3 linked regions of the Lonchura striata genome follow. The protein of the gene in region 1 interacts with the protein of each later gene in a biochemical or structural test. Links are inferred from orthologs where the notes say so. Each region holds a gene or a part of one and is shown in the gene's direction. Other genes may lie near its edges.

Evidence for each region.
Region 2: the proteins of RNF7 (region 1) and UBE2C form a complex in vitro, tested with the Homo sapiens proteins (4 studies listed by BioGRID). The link is inferred for Lonchura striata from reciprocal best matches to the Homo sapiens genes RNF7 and UBE2C.
Region 3: the proteins of RNF7 (region 1) and UBE2S form a complex in vitro, tested with the Homo sapiens proteins (3 studies listed by BioGRID). The link is inferred for Lonchura striata from reciprocal best matches to the Homo sapiens genes RNF7 and UBE2S.

What each region holds. Positions count from the first base shown.
Region 1 is NC_134612.1:12,595,109-12,602,467, forward strand, and holds the start of RNF7 (RING-box protein 2), read left to right. Parts: upstream 1-4,256; 5' UTR 4,257-4,290; coding exon 4,291-4,468; intron 4,469-7,359. UniProt on the Homo sapiens protein: Catalytic component of multiple cullin-5-RING E3 ubiquitin-protein ligase complexes (ECS complexes), which mediate the ubiquitination and subsequent proteasomal degradation of target proteins.
Region 2 is NC_134619.1:8,178,762-8,185,040, forward strand, and holds UBE2C (ubiquitin-conjugating enzyme E2 C), read left to right. Parts: upstream 1-4,591; coding exon 4,592-4,692; intron 4,693-4,769; coding exon 4,770-4,797; intron 4,798-4,915; coding exon 4,916-5,002; intron 5,003-5,176; coding exon 5,177-5,381; intron 5,382-5,507; coding exon 5,508-5,567; intron 5,568-5,704; coding exon 5,705-5,763; downstream 5,764-6,279. Other genes in the region: DNTTIP1 (deoxynucleotidyltransferase terminal-interacting protein 1), read left to right, coding at 1-26, 161-259, 739-807, 1,087-1,143, 1,391-1,452, 1,903-1,948, 2,399-2,457, 2,639-2,699 and 3 more; regulator of G-protein signaling 9-binding protein-like, read right to left, coding at 6,166-6,279. UniProt on the Homo sapiens protein: Accepts ubiquitin from the E1 complex and catalyzes its covalent attachment to other proteins. In vitro catalyzes 'Lys-11'- and 'Lys-48'-linked polyubiquitination.
Region 3 is NC_134640.1:2,863,089-2,870,345, reverse strand, and holds the start of UBE2S (ubiquitin-conjugating enzyme E2 S), read left to right. Parts: upstream 1-4,241; 5' UTR 4,242-4,316; coding exon 4,317-4,319; intron 4,320-5,155; coding exon 5,156-5,179; intron 5,180-6,822; coding exon 6,823-6,970; intron 6,971-7,257. UniProt on the Homo sapiens protein: Accepts ubiquitin from the E1 complex and catalyzes its covalent attachment to other proteins. Catalyzes 'Lys-11'-linked polyubiquitination.

The sequences.
Region 1 (7,359 bases):
TGAAGAGCAGAGTTGTAAGAATTGGGAATATAGTCTATAATTCAGCTAAATTACTTAGAAAGGCACTTTATGTACCTAAATCAGGGACCAAAACATTGATAATTAGTTGCTTTACAATGAGAATAAGATTTTAAAAGATCCAGTAGCTACAGTGTTGAGGAAAGGCTGTGCTTTGTAAGCATTTAATTAGAGAAATTAAGAATTTTAATTACATATAAGAATAATTTGGGTAATTTTTTAATAAAAGCAAATATATGACCTTGCTGAAATGCTTCTAAAATACTATTTATGTTAATAAATGTTTATGATAAATAATAAAATTCATCCACCTTGCTTAACACAATTTTCCATAGAAAATCTTGTATGATCAAGATTTTTCAGTGTTTGAGTCCATTATTATTTTAGCATAATTACTATTGCAAATGCCATGGCAGTTGTATGAAGTCTAGTTAACAATTTCACCAAAGAGGACGTAAATAATTATACCAATTTTAGAAACTTTATTGATCCAAACAATTAGTTTGCTTTAAGGGGCAGTGAATTTGTTCCCCACTTTCATCTTTTATTTTTGGTCATTCCTCGTACACAGGGGGGAAAAAGCCGAGAGGATCATAGAACAGCCAAGTAAACCTACTGTGTGACTTGAATTCAAGACTTAAAGGTAAAAATCTCTTACCTGGTCCCTCTGATTTCTCCAGAGATCTGGGATGTGCTGTGCTTTGTGGTGGCAAAGAGCAGCAGGGACAGGCTGATGTGTGTATCCTGGGCTGCAGAGGCTCCAGAGGGTCACTCGCTGCAGCAGCTGCTGAGAGCTCAGCTGGAGCTCCTGGGTTCAGCTCAGCCCTCGCTGGGACACTGCTGCTGCAGGATACAGAAACGAGCCTGGAAAAAGCAGGGAGCAGAGACAAAATGAGTAAGAAGGAAACTCCCCTTTAAGAATCAAGTGATCCAGAGTAATGCAGTAATACAGACCTGACAATTAGCTGCAGCTTTCATCCACAGACCTTTAAAGTACTCAATGAAAGAAGGGGGAAGTACCTACAATTCAGTCTCCCCATACTGGGTAACAGAAGGCACTATGCTTTGTATAGCAATGCAAATTTGAAAAGTTCCAGAGGAAAGATAGAACATTTTGAAACACAAAACAATGATTTCTGTGACAGCCAAAATAATTAATCTAGTTTTCTCCTGAGTAACTCCAGCTGAGTTCTTCCATTCTGTCATGGTGTGACATTTATAACTGTTTGTTATTATTATTTTTATATATACTTGAATTTTAAATGCATATTTTTGTCACTACCTTGGCCAAAATCTAAAAATAGAAAAGTAGGTCAAGGTAAAAAAAAGTTGTGACATGGTACACAGGATATAACATCTGCAAAGGTGAATAATGAGAAGATAAAGTTCCCCTGTGCAACACCTTCCAGTAATTTAAATATGTGAGTAAAGGGAGTTTCTATAGGCAAGTTACATGGCTTCTCTTGGTAGTGTTTTTATTTTTGTGGTTTTAGGGATTTTTTTGCGGAGCGGAGGTCTGGTGTGGATTGGAGGGCTGGATTTTCTAAGAGTGGCTTTTTTGGGGTCCATCCTGATACTAGGCAGGATCCAAATATCAGGGATTTTAAAAATAGTAAGGCAAACTGTACTACCTCACAAATTTATAGGAAGTGTCCATATTTCAAAATAGATGGGGGCTGTGCCCCTGCACAACAACTGAACAACATCATTTGGTTTCCAGGTTTCAATTCAGAATGCAGGTCCATTCTCAAACAGCTAACTACAGTTAAAATAGGGAAAATTTTATCTTCATAGGTTTTCTAAATTAAAGAATGGATATGAGATAGACATCTAACCTGAAAATCAGCACTGCTCAGAGGTAATAGTAATAGCTGAGTTTTACTCCAGAGTAAAATAATTAGCAAACAAAAACACAGTATAGAATTTCATAAAGCAGTCAGGAGTCTTTGTGTCACTGGTTTTTAATGTCTGCTGCAGAAGGAAAGATGGATGAGCTAGGGTGTTGTGTGAAGAATGGAGAAGTTCCAAGGGTTTAGACTTGATTAAAGCAGCTCAGCAAAGTCAGGATCTCTTTAGTCTCTTGTGACACAGGGTTTTCCATTGAAGCAGAGAGGTTCCTGTGCAGAAGTTAAGGGGATTTTTTTCATAACTTCTGTAAGGATTTCCCTTCTGTGTATTATGTGTCATTAACGTTCTTTTGTTTCACTTGAAGAGTAAAGCACAATGCACTTAAGAATTGGAATTATTGCTACTTCTCAGTCTTTGAGCTCATTCCTGGACTTTTATGAAGTTCATGCCAAATCAAATAGATCTATAGGAATATGGGGATCCCTTTGCTATGCTGTGCAGCAATATATTTGTGTGATTTCTTCCCATCCAGTGAGATCCTCCCAGTGCAAAAGCAGGCAGTTTATTCCACTAATACATTGTTTCCCTAACTCCTATTGTGATTTCTGCGTATTTCTGCATGCCTGCTATATGCTTCTGTTTCATAGAAACTGTACCTGTCAGCATTGAAGTCTGTTTTCCATTTTGGCAATTGCACCTGGCAGATTCAGTAAAGCCTTAGGAGCTGCTACAGGTGGGTTTGTCACAAGCGGTGACAAACTGTTCCCTGTGCTGTCTTCCTCTTGCACCCCCACTGTAGCCAAGTCTCAGCCCTACTGGCCATTAGTAGACCCATGTAGCATATTCCTGTTGGGAAAGAGGCACAGAGAGATGCAGATAACCAGAGTTTAAGAAATAGTTTTGGTAGAGACTTAAGCTTAAATTGTTTTCTTTGGCAGATAAATTGACACGGTCCTCAAGTGTTTTGATATATGTTAATCTATTGACAGAACAAACAGTAAGTGGAATAATACAGTCCAGTACATGCATCAGTTGGCCAAGATAAACACATGCTTACATAACTGTTCTTTGCATTATCATAAAACTGACATTTTTGTCAAGGCTTTGTTTTTAATAAAAATAATTTTCACAGAATCATAGAATCACTAGGTTGGAAGAGACCTTCAAGATCATTGAGTCCAACCCATGCCCTAACACCTAAACTAAACCATGGCACTGAGAGCCACATCCAGTCTTTTTTAAACACATCCAGGAATGGTGGCTCCACCACCTTGTGGCTGCAGGGGATAGGTGAGTTACAGACTGCCAGAACTACTTCTCAAAAACGGCTTGGAATTTTTCTTACACAGCTCTTTAGCTGATAAAATAGCAAGAAAATAATTTTTAGGTAGGAAGCTATCACTTATTTCTCTAAGGCAGTATGGAGAGAGTCAAAGTGCCTGTGTCATATTTGCTCTACTTTCACAGCTAATGTAAATGGAGTTTATATTTGACTTTGCATCGTGTACAGCACATGTATGATGGTTTGACAGCACTCAAACACAATTATAATATCTGACATAATTTGCCCTTAGAATCTTAGAACTGAAGAATTGCATCATTTAGGGATACAAGGCAAATTGTATAAATCTAAAAGCCCCAAAACTCCAACAGAATTTTTTTCCCTTTTTTTAAAATCTCTGTTTAGAGGTAGTTGACATTTTACACAGCAGAAATGAAATGTACTTAATTTTTAAAAAAATATTTTAAACTTTCTGGATTACATCTAGTCCTAGTAATTGAAATCAGAAATGCCCTGATGGTTTTTAAAATGGACAGAAAAGAATGATGAGATAAAGGAGTGGAGCTGGCAAAGGGAATTGAACAGTGTGGATCGAGAGAAGTGTGATTCAGCCAGGCTAAAAGGCTTTATTAACATGCTGCTTAACAGTGTTCAAGGTGCTTCTGAATTGATAGTTGAGTAATGTGCAAACATGCAATCTTTAATACAATTTTTATTTTTTACTTTCTTACGAAGGTGGCCAAGGTGCACGCCACCGCAGAGGTGTTTCACTTGTTCTGTCAGCAGTCCTAGGAAACGTGTTGCGTTGGACGACTGGGTCTTCTCCCCCACACTCCCGGCAGCCCGGACCAAGGGTGAGGTCGGGATTGCTGCACTTGCGCTCTGCGAAGGAGAACATCCTTCGTCAGCAATGCCAGCCTGGCACTGCGGGTGTCCCGGTGGAACGCCAGCGGTGCCCGAGGGCTCCGAGGGCTCCGAGGGCTCCGAGGGCTCCGAGGGCTCTGAGGGCTCTGAGGGCTCTGAGGGCTCCGAGGGCTCCTCGCCCCGCGGGCCCGGCCCGCGCCGCCGCCGCCGTGCCGCTCCCGCCGCCGCCGGAGGGTGGCGCTGCCGCCCGCGCGGCCGCCGGTCCCCGCCCCTCCGCCATGGCCGATGTGGAGGACGGGGACGAGCCCGGCGCCCCCCACTCGCTGCCGGGCTCCGCGGGCTCCAAGGCGGGCGCCCCCGACAAGATGTTCTCGCTGAAGAAGTGGAATGCGGTGGCCATGTGGAGCTGGGACGTGGAGTGCGACACCTGCGCCATTTGCCGGGTGCAGGTCATGGGTAAGCGGCGGCCGGGCCGCCATGGCCGCGGGCGGGGGGCCGGGGCCGGGCCTGGGGCCGTGCCTGCCGCCCCGGGCACGGCGGGCGCCGGGCACAGACGCGGTTTCCGGCAGAAGGGGGGGCTGATCCCTCCCGCCTCCGCTTCCTCCTCCGCGCCTTCCCGGAGGAGGAGGAGGAGGGCCCCGCGGGGGCCGGGCCGCTGCGCTGCGGGGCCACAGGCGGCCCTGTCGGGCAGCGAGAGCCCCCCGGCCCGGCCCTGCCCGGCCCTGCCCGGCCCGGCCCTGCCCTGCCCGGCCCGGCCCTGCCCTGCCCTGCCCGGCCGAGCCCTGCCCTGCCCGGCCCGGCTCTGCCCGGCCCTGCCCTGCCCGGCCCTGCCCTGCCCTGCCCTGCCCGGCTCTGCCCTGCCCTGCCCTGCCCGGCCCTGCCCTGCCCGGCCCGGCTCTGCCCTGCCCGGCCCTGCCCGGCCCGGCTCTGCCCGGCCCGGCCCTGCCCGGCCGAGCCCTGCCCTGCCCGGCCCGGCCCTGCCCGGCCGGGCCGCGCCGTGACCCGTGCGGTGCCGGCTTCGTCATGAGGGCAAATCCGCAAGCACGGACTTAGAGCCCAGCTGAAGCCAGTGCTGCATGCGTGGGGCTGCTCTTTATGGGGTGGGTTTTGTTAAGGGTTTTTTTTTTTCTACGAAGCAGTTACAGATGTACGTAAAAATTGATTTTTCAAATCTGTTAAACCAGGGTGTCAGACTCTACTTCGCAAGCGTGATTGCTGGTGCAGTTTAACACACACAAATGTACTGAGAAATTTAGTGAGTAAGGGGTTAATTTACTTGGTTTTGAAACCCAGAGACTGTTTGAAAGCACCTTCATTGTTAACTCATATTACTGTTTTCTGACATCTTTGTCAAATATGAGATTTATCTTAGTTCTTCAAAAGCGGTTTAAATTCTTCCTTTACTGTGTGTGCAGGTCCAGCTTTTACAATTATTTTGGACTGAGTCATCCTAGGTGTAGCTGTCCTCGCAGTTGGGTCTGCAGCACGTCGGCAGGACAAATGACCCAAAGTTCCCGCCAGAGCACCTAGTTTTTGTAGGGCCAGGAACCCTGATACTGAAAATGAAATCAGCATTTGGTTTAACATAAATGAGGCAAAATATACCATTCTGTCATTTCTCCTAAATAATTTTGCTGGGAACTTTCTCTGGAACAGAGGAGGCAGAAGGGTGTACAAGTAAACAGAGACCACTCTGGAAATATGAAATTGTCTTCATTTGCCATTTAAACCATAATTTTAAAAATGCATTTGTCCCCATTGTAAGCTAGGCTGTTACAGAACACTATAAAAAAAGTCTTAAATTAAAATCTTACCCAGAGCTATTATAAAAGTTTAAAAAAAAAAAGTCTTAATTTTTTAATTGCTAGACCAAGGGAGTACTTTTAATCTGAAACTAGAAAAAAAAATCTGAAAAAAACTAGTAACCGTTTTTTGGGAACAAACCACATTGTTAGAATGTGAAATTTGATGATTACTGACTTCAGTTTAGCAGTTCTGTGTTGACCCTGCCAGAGCGGGTCTGGCTCCTGTAGAGCCACTGCGTCTGCAGTAACCTTAGGTGGGGGCAGTGCCAGACTGAGACTGGCACTTGTTGAAGGTTAGTTTGACTTTTGCAGGGAAGGAGGTGTTAGCTGGCTCCATTTTCTGCTGGTTTAACTCGTTCACCCAAGGTAGTTTTAGATGCACAAGAGAAAGGGACAAAAATGCAGGTGTTAGCTGGGAAGCACAGGATTGCAGCTGGACTGGCTTTGCTGTCCTTAGCCTTTCAGACTGACCCCCATCTGTGGGGTTATGATGTGGGAGTGGGGACAGGTTACTTTGGTGTGGTGGCAGTGATTTCTGTCCTTGGCTCTCTGTGCTGCTTCTGTCTGAAGCTGCAACTCTAGGGCTCAATAGGGCAGCTGATTTATTGTGAGTTTCTGCTGTGACCCTGGATCAGGGGGCTCCCACACACCATGATACGAGTTGAAGCACTTTGGCTGAATCCTCCCAGCACCTTAGCCCCTAACTGGTGTTGAAATACGAATTTTAGGGACAGACAACACAAAAGTTTTGCTTTTGTCTCAATGAAGAAAGGGCAGCTGTTTTAGAGTTCTCTCTTCTTTGTTCTCTATTACCTGAGAAAAGGAGGAATGTCTAGGCAGTTCAACCTAATATACAAATACTGGCCTTATCTGGCAGAGACTGCAAAAATACTCAAATCTAAATTCCTGTAGCACATTAGAGTTTTGTCTTTTGGGAGAATATGGTCCAGCCAGTGACATGTAAGCCAGATTCAACCGGCAGGACACTTGTTTAAGTGTCCACATTTCTTTGGAAGAGATAAAGATGTGTTTGCTCACATAACAGTTGAACATTTTCTGTTGTGCATGATCCGTGCACGTGTGTCTGTGGCAGCCCAAGTTGGGGCAAAGGAGAAGCAAAGGTACTTTTCCACTGCATTGTGTGGCACAGTGGGAAGCCTGGAAGTTGTCACTCTTGTATCTTATTGAGTCCTGGAGCTGCCATCCAATCTTAAAGCCACAGACTGGAGTGAATAAAGATGATAAATATTTTTAATTAGATATTGTTCTGTATTTATTAACATATATTATCAAATGTACCACTATATTTGTATGTGTGTGACTCCTGTGAAAATTAGATGCAGGTACTTGTCAAGGGAGGCTACTATAAAGAGTAATAGGTGGTGGGAGTTGTGGTGAGAGATGCACAGCCTAGAAAAATCAAAATTGTGAATGACTTCCTTAAAAGGAAATGCTGACATCTGAAAAACAAAGTCCTGTAATTAGGGTTTGGCTTTGTGCTTGCTCTGGTCTTAATATGCCTGAGTGCCTTGGCACAAATCT
Region 2 (6,279 bases), on another chromosome or scaffold:
AGGGCATCTTCAACAAGTACATGAAGGTGAGCGCTGGGGGCGGGTGGGCAGCAGCAGGTGCGTGGGGACAGCTCGGTGCCACCGAGGCTATCGCGCCTGTCTGCAGGAGCCGAGCTGACACTGCGCAGGCTGTCACCCTCTCCTGCCTTCTCCTCTTCAGTTTTTCCAGACAGCAGCAATCAACGTGCGTGATAACGTTGGGGAGGAGGTGGACCCAGAGCAGCTCATCCAGGAGACCTGTAGGAGCTGCCTGGAGCAGGTGGGTGCTGGGGAGGTGTCTCTTGAGTGTGCAGCCAAGCAAAGCAACCTGGCTAGAATGTGTCCCTCTTTACAGCTTTGCTGTCACTGTGAGGGGACATCCGCAGCCATTGTGTGACTCTCTCTGGGAATAAGGGAGCAGTCAGGGCTGGGCAGCTCATGCTGCTTCTTCTCACTGCTGCTGTAAGGAACATGGCACACTGCTGGAGTCCCACAGAAACTGGCCCCCAGCACCCGTCAGAAGGTCCTAGCAGGGTGGGCCAGGATTTTTCCTTTCATGTCTTGCTTATCTGCCAGTTTGCCAGAATTTATCATGCTCAAATTGTGCTTTTGCATCTGGCTGTCTGTGGAAGCGTGGCCTGGTAGCACTCCAAAAGCAAAGCTGTTGCAGGGTTTTTAGGCAGATATGTAGAGGTGGGGGTTGTTTATGGGGCCTTCTCTGAGCCCAGAATCCAGGGAACCTTCTTTGTCTCCCTTTAGGCCAAACTGCTGTTCTCAGATGGCAAAAAGGTGGTTCCCAGGTTGCCCCATGAGCAGGCAGTGCCAAAGGTAATTGTGGTGATTGTACACAGAGGTTTAAATGACTTCTGAAAGCTGGGAGAAGAGTTGGGATTACTTTGTTCTCTGACTCTTCTTGGCTGCCAGTGCAGTAGTGCAGAGACAGAGTGGGGGATGTTTGGCTTGAAGGGAATGCAGGGCAAAGAGAATCCCAGGTGTGGGTGCTGCTTGCTGCAGTTCAGTGCTACTCACAGGGGTGGTCTGGGGTCAGTGTTCACCTGGCCAGGTAGGGAGAGGAGCCCTGCTCATCCCACTGCCCTTCCCTTCCAGCGTGCCCGACAGATGGATGAAGAGCTGAGCCGCCGAGGAAGCCCCATTCCAAAAAAGGTAGGATGGTTTTCTTCACAAGAGAGTTTATGTTTTGGGAAGCCTGGCCCTCATTCCTGGCCATTCCCACAGTGTGAGTGCAGGGAGGTGCACGGGCAGCTTTTTTGAGGCGTTGGAGGTGCTCACTCTGGCGCAGGCAGTGTTTTTGCCTGTGACAAAAGAAGCAGCTTCCCTGGGAGAGGGAGGGTTGCTGAGAGGGTTCCCTCAGGCAGCACAGCTGGGTCACAGAAGGGTTTCTTCCATGCAGAGGAAGGGGCGGCCTCCAGGACAGAGCCTGTCAAATGACCGTGGAGTCTCAGGCATGGCAACGTGAGTACAAACCCTGAGCTAGAGCCCCTGTTTCGGGAGGGCAGGGACAATGAGGCTGCGTGTGGGGAGCACAGAAACCCCACAGACTCCTCTCTTACAGAGAAGTAATGGGAGCTCTTCTGGGTATGGGCAGAAGCAGGGTTAGGTTGAGGTGTTCCCCTCAGGAGGCAAAGACCTTAAAGGGAGGGATTTTTAAACAGGCCCAAAGGGGTGAAAAGGTCCAGATGGACCATCCAGAATGAGTGGTGAGACACAGGGGATGGTGGGATCTGGGCAACCAGGAGAGGAGAATGTGCAGCAAAGTTGAAGGTCCAAAGCCGGGCGCTGTGGGGAAATGGAGGGTGTGAAAAAATGGTGGATTTGGAAGGGTTTGAGCTCAGTCCCTGCTGCTGGTGGTGACTAAGCTGATCCCACTGGGACTCATTCTTACTGTGTTTTCCTTCCCCTCAGGTGGAAGCTCAAAGTCTCTGAGCCTGTGAAAAGGGATGGACCAAAGGTATTAGCTGTCCGACACTGCTGGGCTCCCTCTCTCCTCCCCTTTGCTCCCACCAGCAGGAGCGCAGGACAGCGCGGGCTGTGCCCTGCCCTGCTGGGGCCTTGGGCAGGGCGGGAGCAAGAAGAGGAAGCGAAGTGCCCGGAGGCCTTTGCTGGTCTCCCCAGGCACCCAGCCTGTAGCCCTGCAGTGTGGTGCCGCTGAGGGAGGCCTGAGGAGACCGGGAGTAGCCAGGAGAATCCCACAAGTGTTTCCCACGAGGGAAACTGCTTAGATCAGCCCAGACGGAATGTAACATCCCTCCCCTGAGGAAGGCTGGAGGTCATTGGCCAGCTCCCTCCCTCCCAGTCTGGAGGCAGCTCCAAGGTTCCCTTGTCAAAGAGCCGAGGCTTGTGGAGCATGGCCAGCAGCAACTTCATTTCTAATGTTGCCCCTTTTCCAATTGCTCTGTAGTGGGATCCATCCCGACTGACTGAAACCACAACCTTTGTGCTGGGATCTCGAGCAAACAAGTAAGGAACGGCCCTGTCGATGGAGGGTGGTGTCCCCAGGCAGGAGCCCGTGACACTCCTCCCGTCACTTCGCTTCTCTGCCTCAAAAGCAGTAGGAAGGGCTTGGGGAGGAGAGGGGTGTCCCTGTGCTACCACAGCTGCCCTCCCCACAGCCCTAACACCCCTCATGTTCCTATTGCAGAGCTCTCGGGATGGGAGGAACAAGAGGGCGACTCTACATCAAGCATCCCCACCTCTTTAAGGTCAGGTGCCACAGCCAGATGGTTTCCCATGGGAATTAGGAATGTATGTTTCAGCTCCCTTGCTTACTGCCTCCCCCATGTCCTTGTATGTTGTCTTAGATCGTGTTCCCAAGGTTTGGATAGCACATAACACTAGCCAGTGGTGTCGCAGCCTGCCAAGGCAGCAGGGGTGGCAGAGCCAGGGCTGAGGCTGGAGCAGGGCAGGCGGAGCGGGGGCAGAGCAGAGCGGGGCTTTCAGGGGAGGGTCTGTCGCCCGTTCTCAGCTCGGTCCTTGCTGCTTTATTGCAGTACGCAGCCGACCCGCAGGATAAGCACTGGCTGACAGAGCAGCAGCACATGAGGGCCATTGGGGGCAAGATGGTGAGTACGGCCGGGCGCAGGGCCCGCCGCGGGGCCAGGCGGCGGTGGCAGGATAGGCAGGGCACGGGGACACGGCGCTGCCAAGGTCTGTCCCCTCCCACAGGACTGGGGCATGGGCCAGGAGGCACGGCTGGCTCCCACGGGGACAGTGGTGGCTGAGGGTGTGGGCCTGCCCTGGCTGCCCCTCGCAGGCACCCTGAGGTGTCCCCTGCCTTGTGCCACAGGCCTACCTCCTCATTGAAGAGGACATTCGGGATTTGGCCGCCAGTGAGGATTACAGGTGAGGACCGAAGCAGAAATTCTGAAAGTGCTGTTGGGCCTGAGGCTGCTTCTTGGGGGGCCCCCACCATGTCCTGCCTCAGTGCTACATTGCAGAGACGTCCCGTGCTGGAGGGGCTCTCTGCATGGTGGCTGGGGGCTTGGTTATGGTTGGGGATTGGTGCCCATGGGGCAACTGAGGTTTGGACTTGGTGTTGGTTGGGGATCCATGGTAGGTTTGGGCTCAGTGCTGATTGAGATTCATGGTGGGTTTGGTGGGTCTGGGCCTGGTACTGATGTGTGCCAGGGGACATGGTGGGTCGGCAGTGGGTGCTGTGTCCCTCCATGTCACCCTGTTCCTCCGCAGGGACTCTGTTGATCTGCGGCTGGAAGAGCTGAAGCCCTTCATCCCACCAGCCTGGATGACTGAGAAGATGCAGAAGCACATGGAGACGCTTCGCCGCGGGGGGGACGTGCCGGCCCCCGAGGAGCCCCCCGAACCCTGATGCCCCCCAATAAAGCCGCTTCGCTCGCAGCTCGCCGCTTCCTCGGGCACCGGGCACCGGGCTCGGGCCGCGTCCGGGCCGGCGGGACCCGCGGGGCAGCGGCCAATCAGAGCGCGGAGCGTCACTGCCGGCGCCCGCCGGCCGTTACCGTGGGAGCGGCATCCTCGGCGGGCCGTGATTGGCCGGCTCGAACGGGGCTGCGCGCTGATTGGTGGGGGGGACGCACGTGGAAATATTCAAACGGGGCGCGGGAGCAGGCGGGGCCGCGCGGGACGAGCGGACTGGAGAGTGTCCGGGCCCGGGGCTGCGACCGGGCCGCTCTGCACCGGGGAGGGGTTGGGACTGAGCCGCTCCTGCACCGGAGAGGAGTTGGGATCGAGCCGGTCTGCACTGGAGAGTGGTTGGGCCCAGCCGCTCTGCACCGGAGAGGAGTTGGGACCGAGCCGCTCTGCACCGGAGAGGGGGTGGCACCCAGCCGCTCTGCACCGAGGGGGTTTGACACTCAGCCGCTCCTGAATCGGAGACCGTCTGGAACGGGATTGGGATCGGGCCGCCGCCTCACGGGAGAGCCCCAAGCACCGCCGCTCGGCACCGGGGAGCCGCAGAGGGGCCCGAGTCCTGCCCCGAGCGGGACTGCGGGAGGGAGGGAGAGAGCAGCGGAGCCCGGTGCGGCGCCGCCCGGGAGCCGGAGCCGGAGCCGGTCCCGCCCGTGACCCGCCGGCAGCGGCGGCCGGTGCCAGTGTGCTGGTCCGTGCCCCGGGAGCCGCTATGGCCTCACAGAACGCCGACCCCGCCGCCGTGTCCAGCGCAGCCGCCCGCAAAGCGGCTGAGACCGGGGCCACGGCGGCCCGCGGCGCGGTGGGGAAGAGGTGAGCGGAACCGGGGCCGGGGCTGAGGGCGGGGGCGGCCCCGGTGAGCCGGCCGGTAACGTGCGCTTTCTCCGCAGGCTGCAGCAAGAGCTGATGGCATTGATGGTGAGTGGGGCCCCGGGGCCGAGCCGGGGATTGGGGATCCCAAAGGCACCCGGGACTGAACTGGGTTGGGGGGGTGTCTCGGGGCGTCCCGGGCCGCCCTGACGCGCTGCCCCCGCAGATGTCCGGTGACAAAGGCATTTCTGCCTTCCCCGAGTCCGACAACCTCTTCAAGTGGATCGGGACCATTGACGGCGCCGCCGGGACGGTGAGAGGCGAAATCCCGGTCTGAGGTGGCCCTGACCCTGCCCCACCTTCCTCCCTTCAGCTGAGGGTGTTCCTAGCCCTCCATTGCCCTTGTACCTCTTTTTCTTCGAGGCTTCCCCACACCTCTGGGGCTACAGCCCCCCCTGACTCCTGTCCCACTTGACTCTCACCCCAGGCCTACGAGGAGCTGCGGTACAAGCTGTCACTGGAGTTCCCCAGTGGGTACCCCTACACAGCACCCACCGTGCGGTTCCTGACCCCCTGCTACCACCCCAACGTCGACACCCAGGGCAACATCTGCCTCGACATCCTCAAGGAAAAGTGGTCAGCGCTCTATGATGTCCGCACCATCCTGCTCTCCATACAGAGCCTGCTGGCAGGTGGGTCTCGCGGACAAACTGCTGTGGAGTGCTGGGGGAAGGGGTGGTGGTGGTGGTGGGGCTGTCCAACCCAGATCAGGGCTCAAGGGTGTCCAGGTCACCAGCTAACGCAGCCACTGTTTCCAGAGCCAAACATCGAGAGCCCTCTGAACACACATGCTGCTGAGCTCTGGAACAACCAAGTTGGTGAGTACCTGAAGCAGAACCCTCCTGCCCTCTCCCCAGTGGGATGGGCAGCAGCACAGCTCCCAGTGCCTGTCTGGCCCCACAGCTCCCTGGCCACTGCCTCAGGACCCTTGGTGTCATGTTCTCTCTTTCCTCAGCCTACAAGAAGTATGTGCGGGAGACGTACAACAAGCAGACCAAGAGCCAGGAGACCTGACCATCACCACCACCCCTCAACACATCCCCTCCCTCCCGGCCATCCCCCGCGTTCTGTATCATAGGCTGTTTTTAAATTAATGTCGCAGTCCGAGCCATGGTTAATGTATAAATAAATGCAGGTTTATAACTTCTGCAGGGGATTCTGTGGCAGCTCTAGCACACCCTGAGTGCCCAAGAGGCCCCTCTGCAAGTGTGGGCGTGAAGGGTGGAAGGGATACTGACCCCTGTGGGGTAATGAAAGCTTTATCAATATTTGGGGGCCTGGAGCAATTCTATCTACAGGGTGGGAGCAGCCCACACCATAACCTGCAAAGGCAGGGGCTGAGGACTGTAGGGGTACCTCTGTCTCCTGCTCTGTGACAGGGGTGTCACCTCTGCTGCTATCTCCTGCCCCCCTAGCTCACAGCACCCCACAGCAGTGCCCAGCGCAGGGGCCGCCCCAGGCCGCTCTCTGTGTGGTGCCACTTGTCTCTGCTGGCTGTGTGGTCTCTGTGGCTTCCACTGTCCATGGTGG
Region 3 (7,257 bases), on another chromosome or scaffold:
GCGCCGGTTTTTGGGAGACTTTTGAACTTTTTGGGGAGTTTTGGTTTTTTTCCGGGGGGGTTTTGAGATTTTTTTTTTTTTTTTTTGCGGGGGGGAAAAATTTTGGGTCTCTCTGGGATTTTTTGGGGAAGAATTTTTGGGTTTTGGTTTTTTTTTTGTTTATTTATTTGGCGGGGTCCAGGAGGGGTTTTTTGGGGGGTCCCGGAGGGGTTTTTTGGGGGGGTCTCGGGGGTTTTTGGGGGTTCTCGGAGGGGTTTTTAGGGGGATTTTTGGGGGGGGTCTCAGGGGGGTTTTGGGGGTTCTCGGGGGTTTTTGGGGGGGTTTTTGGGGGGTTCTCGGAGGGGTTTTTTGGGGGGTCTCGGGGGGTTTTTGGGGGTTCTCGGAGGGGTTTTTAGGGGGGTTTTTTGGGGGGGTCTCGGGGGTGTTTTTGGGGGAGTTTTTGGGAGGGGTCTCGGGGGGGTTTTGGGGGTTCTCGGGGGGTTTTTGGGGGTTCTCGGAGGGGTTTTTAGGGGGGTCTCGGGGGATTTTTGGGGGTTCTCGGAGGGGTTTTTAGGGGGGTCTCGGGGGATTTTTGGGGTGGTTTTTAGGGGGGTCTCGGGGAGGTTTTGGGGGGAGTCTCGGGGGTTTTTTGGGGGTTCTCGGAGGGGTTTTTGGGGGGGTCTCGGGGGGTTTTTGGGGTGGTTTTTCGGGGGGTCTCGGGGGGTTTTTGGAGGGGAATTTTCCCCCCCCGACCCCCCGTTTCCTCCCCTCCCCAGACTGGCGGGTGCCCCCCCCCGCCCCCCTGAGCTGCTCCCGCTCCTTCCACAACCTCTCGCACCCCCCCCCGCCCTACGAGAGCCCCCCCCGGGCCGACGGCGCCCGCTGGGCCTCGCTGCGCCGCCTGGGTGAGCCCCCCGACCCAAAACACCCAAAATGCCCTGAAACCCCCCCAAAAAATCCCAAAAACCTCGATGAAATACCCCCAAAACCCCAAAATCCACCCCAAAAACCCCAACCCCCCAGAATCCCCCAAAACCCCCCCGAAAAACATCCTAAAATCCCCCAAACCACCCCAAAATTACCCAAAATCCCCTAAACCCCCCAAAACTTCTTGAATCCCCCCAAACTCCCCCAACCTGCCCCAAAACCCCCCCAAATCCCCCAAACCACCCAAATTTCCCCAAACTCCCCCAAATTCCCCCAAATTCCCCCAATCTGCCCCAAGCCCCCCCCAAATACCCCAAACTCCCCCAATCTCCCCCAGACTTCCCCAATCTGCCCCAAGGCCCTCCCAAATCCCCCAACCCCCCCCCAAATTCCCCCAATCTGCCCCAAGACCCCCCCAAATACCCCAACACCCCCCCAAATTCCCCCAAACTCCCCCAATCTGCCCCAAGACCCCCCCCCAAATCCCCCAAAAGACCCAAATTTCCCCAAACTCCCCCAAATCCCCCAAATTCCCCCAAACTCCCCCAATCTGCCCCAAACCCCCCCCAAATCCCCCAAGACACCCAAATTTCCCCAAACTCCCCCAAATCCCCCAAATTCCCCCAAATCCCCCAAACTCCCCCAATCTCCCCCAATCTGCCCCAAATCCCCCCCGAATTCCCCCCATTAACCCTTTCCTCCCCTCCCCGCAGCCGACCGGGAGCTGGAGGATTTCGGGGGTCCCTGGGGCCCCCCCTGGGGCGCTGCCCCGCCCCCCCGGGGCACGCTGCCCCTCCCCCCGCCCCGGGGCCGCCGGGTCCTGTCCCAGGAGTTTTTGGGGGGCGGGGGCGGGACCCTGCCCCGGAACCGGCCCCGCCGCCCCCCCCTGTCCCACGCCGCCTCCCAGAGCAGCCTCGGCCCGGCGGGGGGAGGGGCGGCCTCCCCGCCCCCCCCCCACGCCCCGCCGCCCCTCCCCCACCACCCGCCGCCCCCCGGGACCCCCTTCTCGCCGCCCGCGGGGCCCGGGGCGCGGCGGGCGCTGTTCGGGGGGCGGCGGCAGAGCACGGCCGAGCTGCAGCTGCTGCCGGGACCCCCGCCCGCCCCCGCGCCGCCGCCCCCGCCCCAGCAGCCGCCGCCCCTGCCGCCGCACCGGCTGCGCACCGGGAGCCGCACCGAGGTGACGGTGTGAGCGCGAGGGGAGTCGGCGGGGAAAGGGTTAAAAATCCGGGGGGAAAGGGTTAAAAAATCCGGGGGGAAAGGGTTAAAAAATCCGGGGGGAAATCGGCGGGGAAAGGGTTAAAAATCCGGGGGGAAAGGGTTAAAATATCCGGGGGGAAAGGGTTAAAAAATCCGGGGGGAAATCGGCGGGGAAAGGGTTAAAATCCTGGGGAGAAAGGGTTAAAATAGCCGGGGGGGAAATCGGCGGGGAAAGGGTTAAAAATCCGGGGGAGAAAGGATTAAAATATCCGGGGGGGAAAGGGTTAAAAAATCCGGGGGGAAATCGGCGGGGAAAGGGTTAAAAATCCGGGGGGAAAGGGTTAAAAATCCGGGGGAGAAAGGGTTAAAAAATCCGGGGGGAAAGGGTTAAAAAATCCGGGGGAAAAGGGTTAAAAAATCCGGGGGGAAAGGGTTAAAAAATCCGGGGGAAAAGGGTTAAAAAATCCGGGGGGAAAGGGTTAAAAAATCCAGGGGGAAAGGGTTAAAAAATCCGGGGGGAAAGGGTTAAAAATAGGGGAAAGCTGCGGGGAAAGGGTTAAAAATGGGGGGAAATGGTGAAAATTGGTGAAAAGGACAAAAATTGGGGGGGAAAGGGTTAAAAATGGGGGGAAAAATTAAAATAGGGGGAAAAGGACAAAATTGGGGGGAAATGGTGAAAATGGAGGGAAAGGGTTAAAAATGGGGGGAAAGGACATAAATTGGGGGGAAAAGGTTAAAATTGGGGGGAATTGTGAAAATTGGGGGGAAATGGTTAAAAATGGGGGGAAAGGGTTAAAAATGGGGGGAAATGGTGGAAATTGGGGAAAAGGTTAAAATTGGGGGAAAGGCGAAATTCGAGGTGGGAATTGGGGCAGAAAAAGCAGAAAATGGCGGCGAGCCCCGGCCCGGAGATTTGGGGGAAATCCCCGGGAATTCGGGACATTCCCCCCCCCGATGACGTCACACCCCCGCGATGATGTCACACATCACAACATGGCAGCTGGTGACGTCACAGCCCCGCCCCGGCGGCGCCGATGACGTCACACCCCAACTATGATGTCACACCCCCGCGGCCAATGACGTCACAGCCCCTCACGCAATGACGTCACGGCCGCCCCGCCCCCACCCCCGAGCAGCCGATGATGTCACAGCTCCGCCCGATGACGTCACGCCGCCCCGATGACGTCAGCACTGTGGATTCCCCCTCCCCCCGCAGGACGTCACGACGAGGGGCGGGGCCACCCGACGATGACGTCACCGATCACGGCCAAGGCCCCGCCCCTTCCCCCCAGTCACGATGACGTCACGGCGGGCTGGGCCCGCCGGTGACGTCACACATCCGCAAACCCCGCCCCTCCCCGATGACGTCACGCCCGCACCGAAGCCATAGGGGGGGAGGGGATGACCCCGTGACCCCCCCGTGACCCCCCGTGACCCCGTGACCTCCCCGTGACCCCCACGTGCCTTAGAGCCCCGCCCCCCGCCCCGCCCCCGCCCCGGGGGGGGGAGGGAATAAAGTGACGTTTCCTGCCCCCCCCGCCTCGCTTTTGGGGCCATTTCGGGGGATTTTGGGGAAAATTGGGGGGGCGGGGCTTTGGGGAGGGGGCGGGGCTTGTTGGGGGGGATTTTGGGGGGATTTTCTCGTCCCCCTCAAACGCCGCGCTCTGATTGGCCGCTCCGCCTGCCAATAACGCCGAGCCCCGCCTCCCGGAAGTCCCGCCCCGCGGCCGGATCCCCACTTCCCATTGGCCGGCGTGCCCGCCAATCCCCGCCGTTCAAACCGGCGGCCCCGCCCCTTTCCGCCGACCGTTACGGCGCAAACAACGCGCCCGGGCCCCGCCCCCTTCTCCTGCCCCCCTCGCGGCTCCGCCAATCAGCGCGCACTGCCCGCCTTCTCCCTCGCTCCCCATTGGCCGCCCCGCGCGCCGCGCGGCGCTGATTGGTCGCTCCGCGCGGCGGGCGGGGGCCGCGCGCGGCCGAGGTTATAAAGGCGGCGGCGCGGCGGAGCGGCCCCCTCAGCGCGGCGGGCGGGCGGCGGCGCCGGAGGTGGGAGCGCGCTGCCGGGGGAGGGGACAGGGGGCGCCCCCCGGCCTCCCCCCTGCCCGAGGGGTCAGCCCCGCGCCCCGGGACCCCGCTCCGGACCGGGAGGAACCGCCTGGGAGCCGCTGCCCCCTCGGGGCCAGCCCCGCGCGGCCGGGGCCCAGCCCGGCGCCATGGTGAGGGAGGCCCGGGGCGGCGCGGGGCGTCCTGAGGGATTTCTGTGGGATTGCAGAAAATTCCGGGAGTCCCGAGGGGGGCTGGGGCGCTCGAGGGGATTTTTGGGGCATTTGAGGCGGCTTGGGGGTCCTGAGGGGATCCTGGGGGTCCTGAGGAGATCCTGGGCGCATTTCAGGGAATTTTGGGCGTCCTGAGAGCATTTTGGCGGTGCTGAGGGGATTTTTTGAGGGAGTTTGGGGGTCCTGAGGGGATTTGGGGTTCCTGAAAGGATCTTTGAGGAATTTGAGGGGATTTTGGGGGAATTTGAAGGAGTTTGGGGGGGGTCCTGAGAGGATTTGGGGGATTTGAGGGGATTTTGGGGCTCCTGAGAAGATTTTAGAATCCTGAGGGGATTTTTTGTGGGATTTGAGGGGGTTTGGGGGTCCTGGGTGGGTTTTGGGGGGATTTGAGGAGATTTTGGGATCCTGAGGGGATTTTGGGGGGATTTGGGGGTCCTGAGGGGATTTGGGGAGTTCTGAGGGATTTTTAGGGGATTTGGGTGAAGTTTGTGGAGCTTTGAAGGAATTTGGGGGATTTTCTGTCGATTTGGGGCGAATTGAGGGAGTTTGGAGGCGAAACTTGGGGGATTTGGGGAGGTTTTGAGATAAACGTTGGGAGTTTTGGGGTACTGTGTGTTTGGGTTGAATTTTGGGGAAATTTTGGGAGTTTTGGGGAGGATTTGGGGCGCTGTGAGTTTGGGGGAGCTGCTGAGGGATTTTTGGGGGGGATTAGTGGGAATTTGGGGCTTTTTGAGGTCTCCCCACCCCAAATTCACCCCAAATTTTTGCCTCCCCAGGAGCCCCGAGGCGGCGCTTGGCAGGTGAGTCCCCGATTTTGGGGATCCTTTTCCCTTTTTAACCATTTCTAGGTAAATTTAACATTTCTGGGGGCTCAGTCTCAGTTTTGGGTGATTTTCCCCCGTTTTTGGCACTTGTTAATTCTTAGCAGGAAGTGAACTCCAGATTTTGCGGATCCTTTTCACTTTTTAACCATTCCCAGGTGAATTTAGCATTTCAGGGGATTCACTTTCTCATTTTTGTGTGATTTTCACCCAGTTTTGGCACTTTTAATTCCTAGCAGGAAGGAGATGATTTTGGGTTTCCCCTCCCAGGGAAATCCCCGATTTTGGGATCCTTTTCCCTTTTTAACCATTTCAAGGTGAATTTAACATTTCAGGGGGTTCAGTCTTTCATTTTGGGTGAGTTTCCCCCGATTTTGGCACTTTTTAATTCCTAGCAGGAAGCGAACTCCAGATTTTGGGATCCTTTTCCCTTTTTAACCATTCCCAGGTGAATTTAGCTTTTCAGGGGATTCACTCTCTCATTTTTGGGTGATTTTCCCCCGATTTTGGCACTTTTTAATTCCTAGCAGGAAGTGAACTCCAGGTTTTGGGGATCCTTCTCCCTTTTTTAACCATTCCCAGGTGAATTTAAACATTTCAGGAGGGTTCACTCTCATTTTTGGGTGATTTTCCCCGATTGTCACTTTTTTCTTCCTGCTCAGATTTAGTAGCAAGGGGGTGATCTTGGGGTCTCCCCTCGGGGGTAAATCCCAGATTTTGGGGATCCCTTTCCCTTTTTAACCCTTTCCAGCTGGTTTAACCCTTTCCCAGCTGGTTTTAACCCTCTGGGAGGGTTCCATCTCCCACTTCTGGGCCGTTTTCTGCAAATCTCTCCCTGCCTTCTCTCCACTTCTCCTCTGCTCCATTCTGGGGGTGCTCCCCCAGTTTTTGGGGTGCCCCTGGCCCCCCAAATCTCCCCCAGACCCCCGAGGCCGAGCACCTTTTCCCCCAGCGTTATCAGGGTCTGGGTCACCCCAGTTTTGGGTTTTTGGGGTGCCCCTGACCCCCGTTTTTGCCCCCAGACCCCCGAGGCCGAGAACCTTCTCCCCCAGGGATGTCCTGGTTTGGGGTACCCCAATTTTGGGTTTTTGGGGTGCCCCTGACCCCCCAAATCTCCCCCAGACCCCCGAGGCCGAGAACCTGCCCACCCCAGGGTTATCTGGGTCTGGGTTACCCCAATTTTGGGTTTTTGGGGTGCCCCTGACCCCCGTTTTTGCCCCCAGACCCCCGAGGCCGAGAACCTGCCCACCACAAGGATATCTGGGTCTGGGGTACCCCAGTTTTGGGTTTTTGGGGTGCCCCTGACCCCCAAATCTCCCCCAGACCCCCGAGGCCGAGAACCTTCTCCCCCAGGGTTATCAGGGTCTGGGTCACCCCAGTTTGGGGTTTTTGGGGTGCCCCTGACCCCCAAATCTCCCCCAGACCCCCGAGGCCGAGAACCTGCCCACCACAAGGATATCTGGGTCTGGGGTACCCCAGTTTTGGGTTTTTGGGGTGCCCCTGACCCCCCAAATCTCCCCCAGACCCCCGAGGCCGAGAACCTTCTCCCCCAGGGTTATCAGGGTCTGGGTTACCCCAATTTTGGGTTTTTGGGGTGCCCCTGACCCCCAAATCTCCCCCAGACCCCCGAGGCCGAGAACCTGCCGCCGCAGGCGCTGCGGCTGCTGTGCCGCGAGGTGGCGCTGCTGAGCGCCGACCCCCCCGACGGCATCCGGCTGTTCCCCAACGAGCAGGACCTGAGCGACCTGCAGGTGGCCATCGAGGGGCCGGGTGAGCACCCCGAAAACGGGGGTCCCCAAATCCTGGGGGGTCCCGGGAACCCTGGGGGATCCCCGAAACCCTGGGGGGAATCCGGGAATCCTGGGGGGAATCATCCCTGAGCGACCTGCAGGTGGCCATCGAGGGGCCGGGTGAGCACCCCCAAATCCTGGGGGGTCCCGGGAACCCTGGGGGGGTCCCTGACACCCTGGGGGGATCCCTGACACCCTGGGGGGATCCCCAAAGTCCTGGGGGGAATCACCCCTGAGCGACCTGCAGGTGGCCATCGAGGGGCCGGG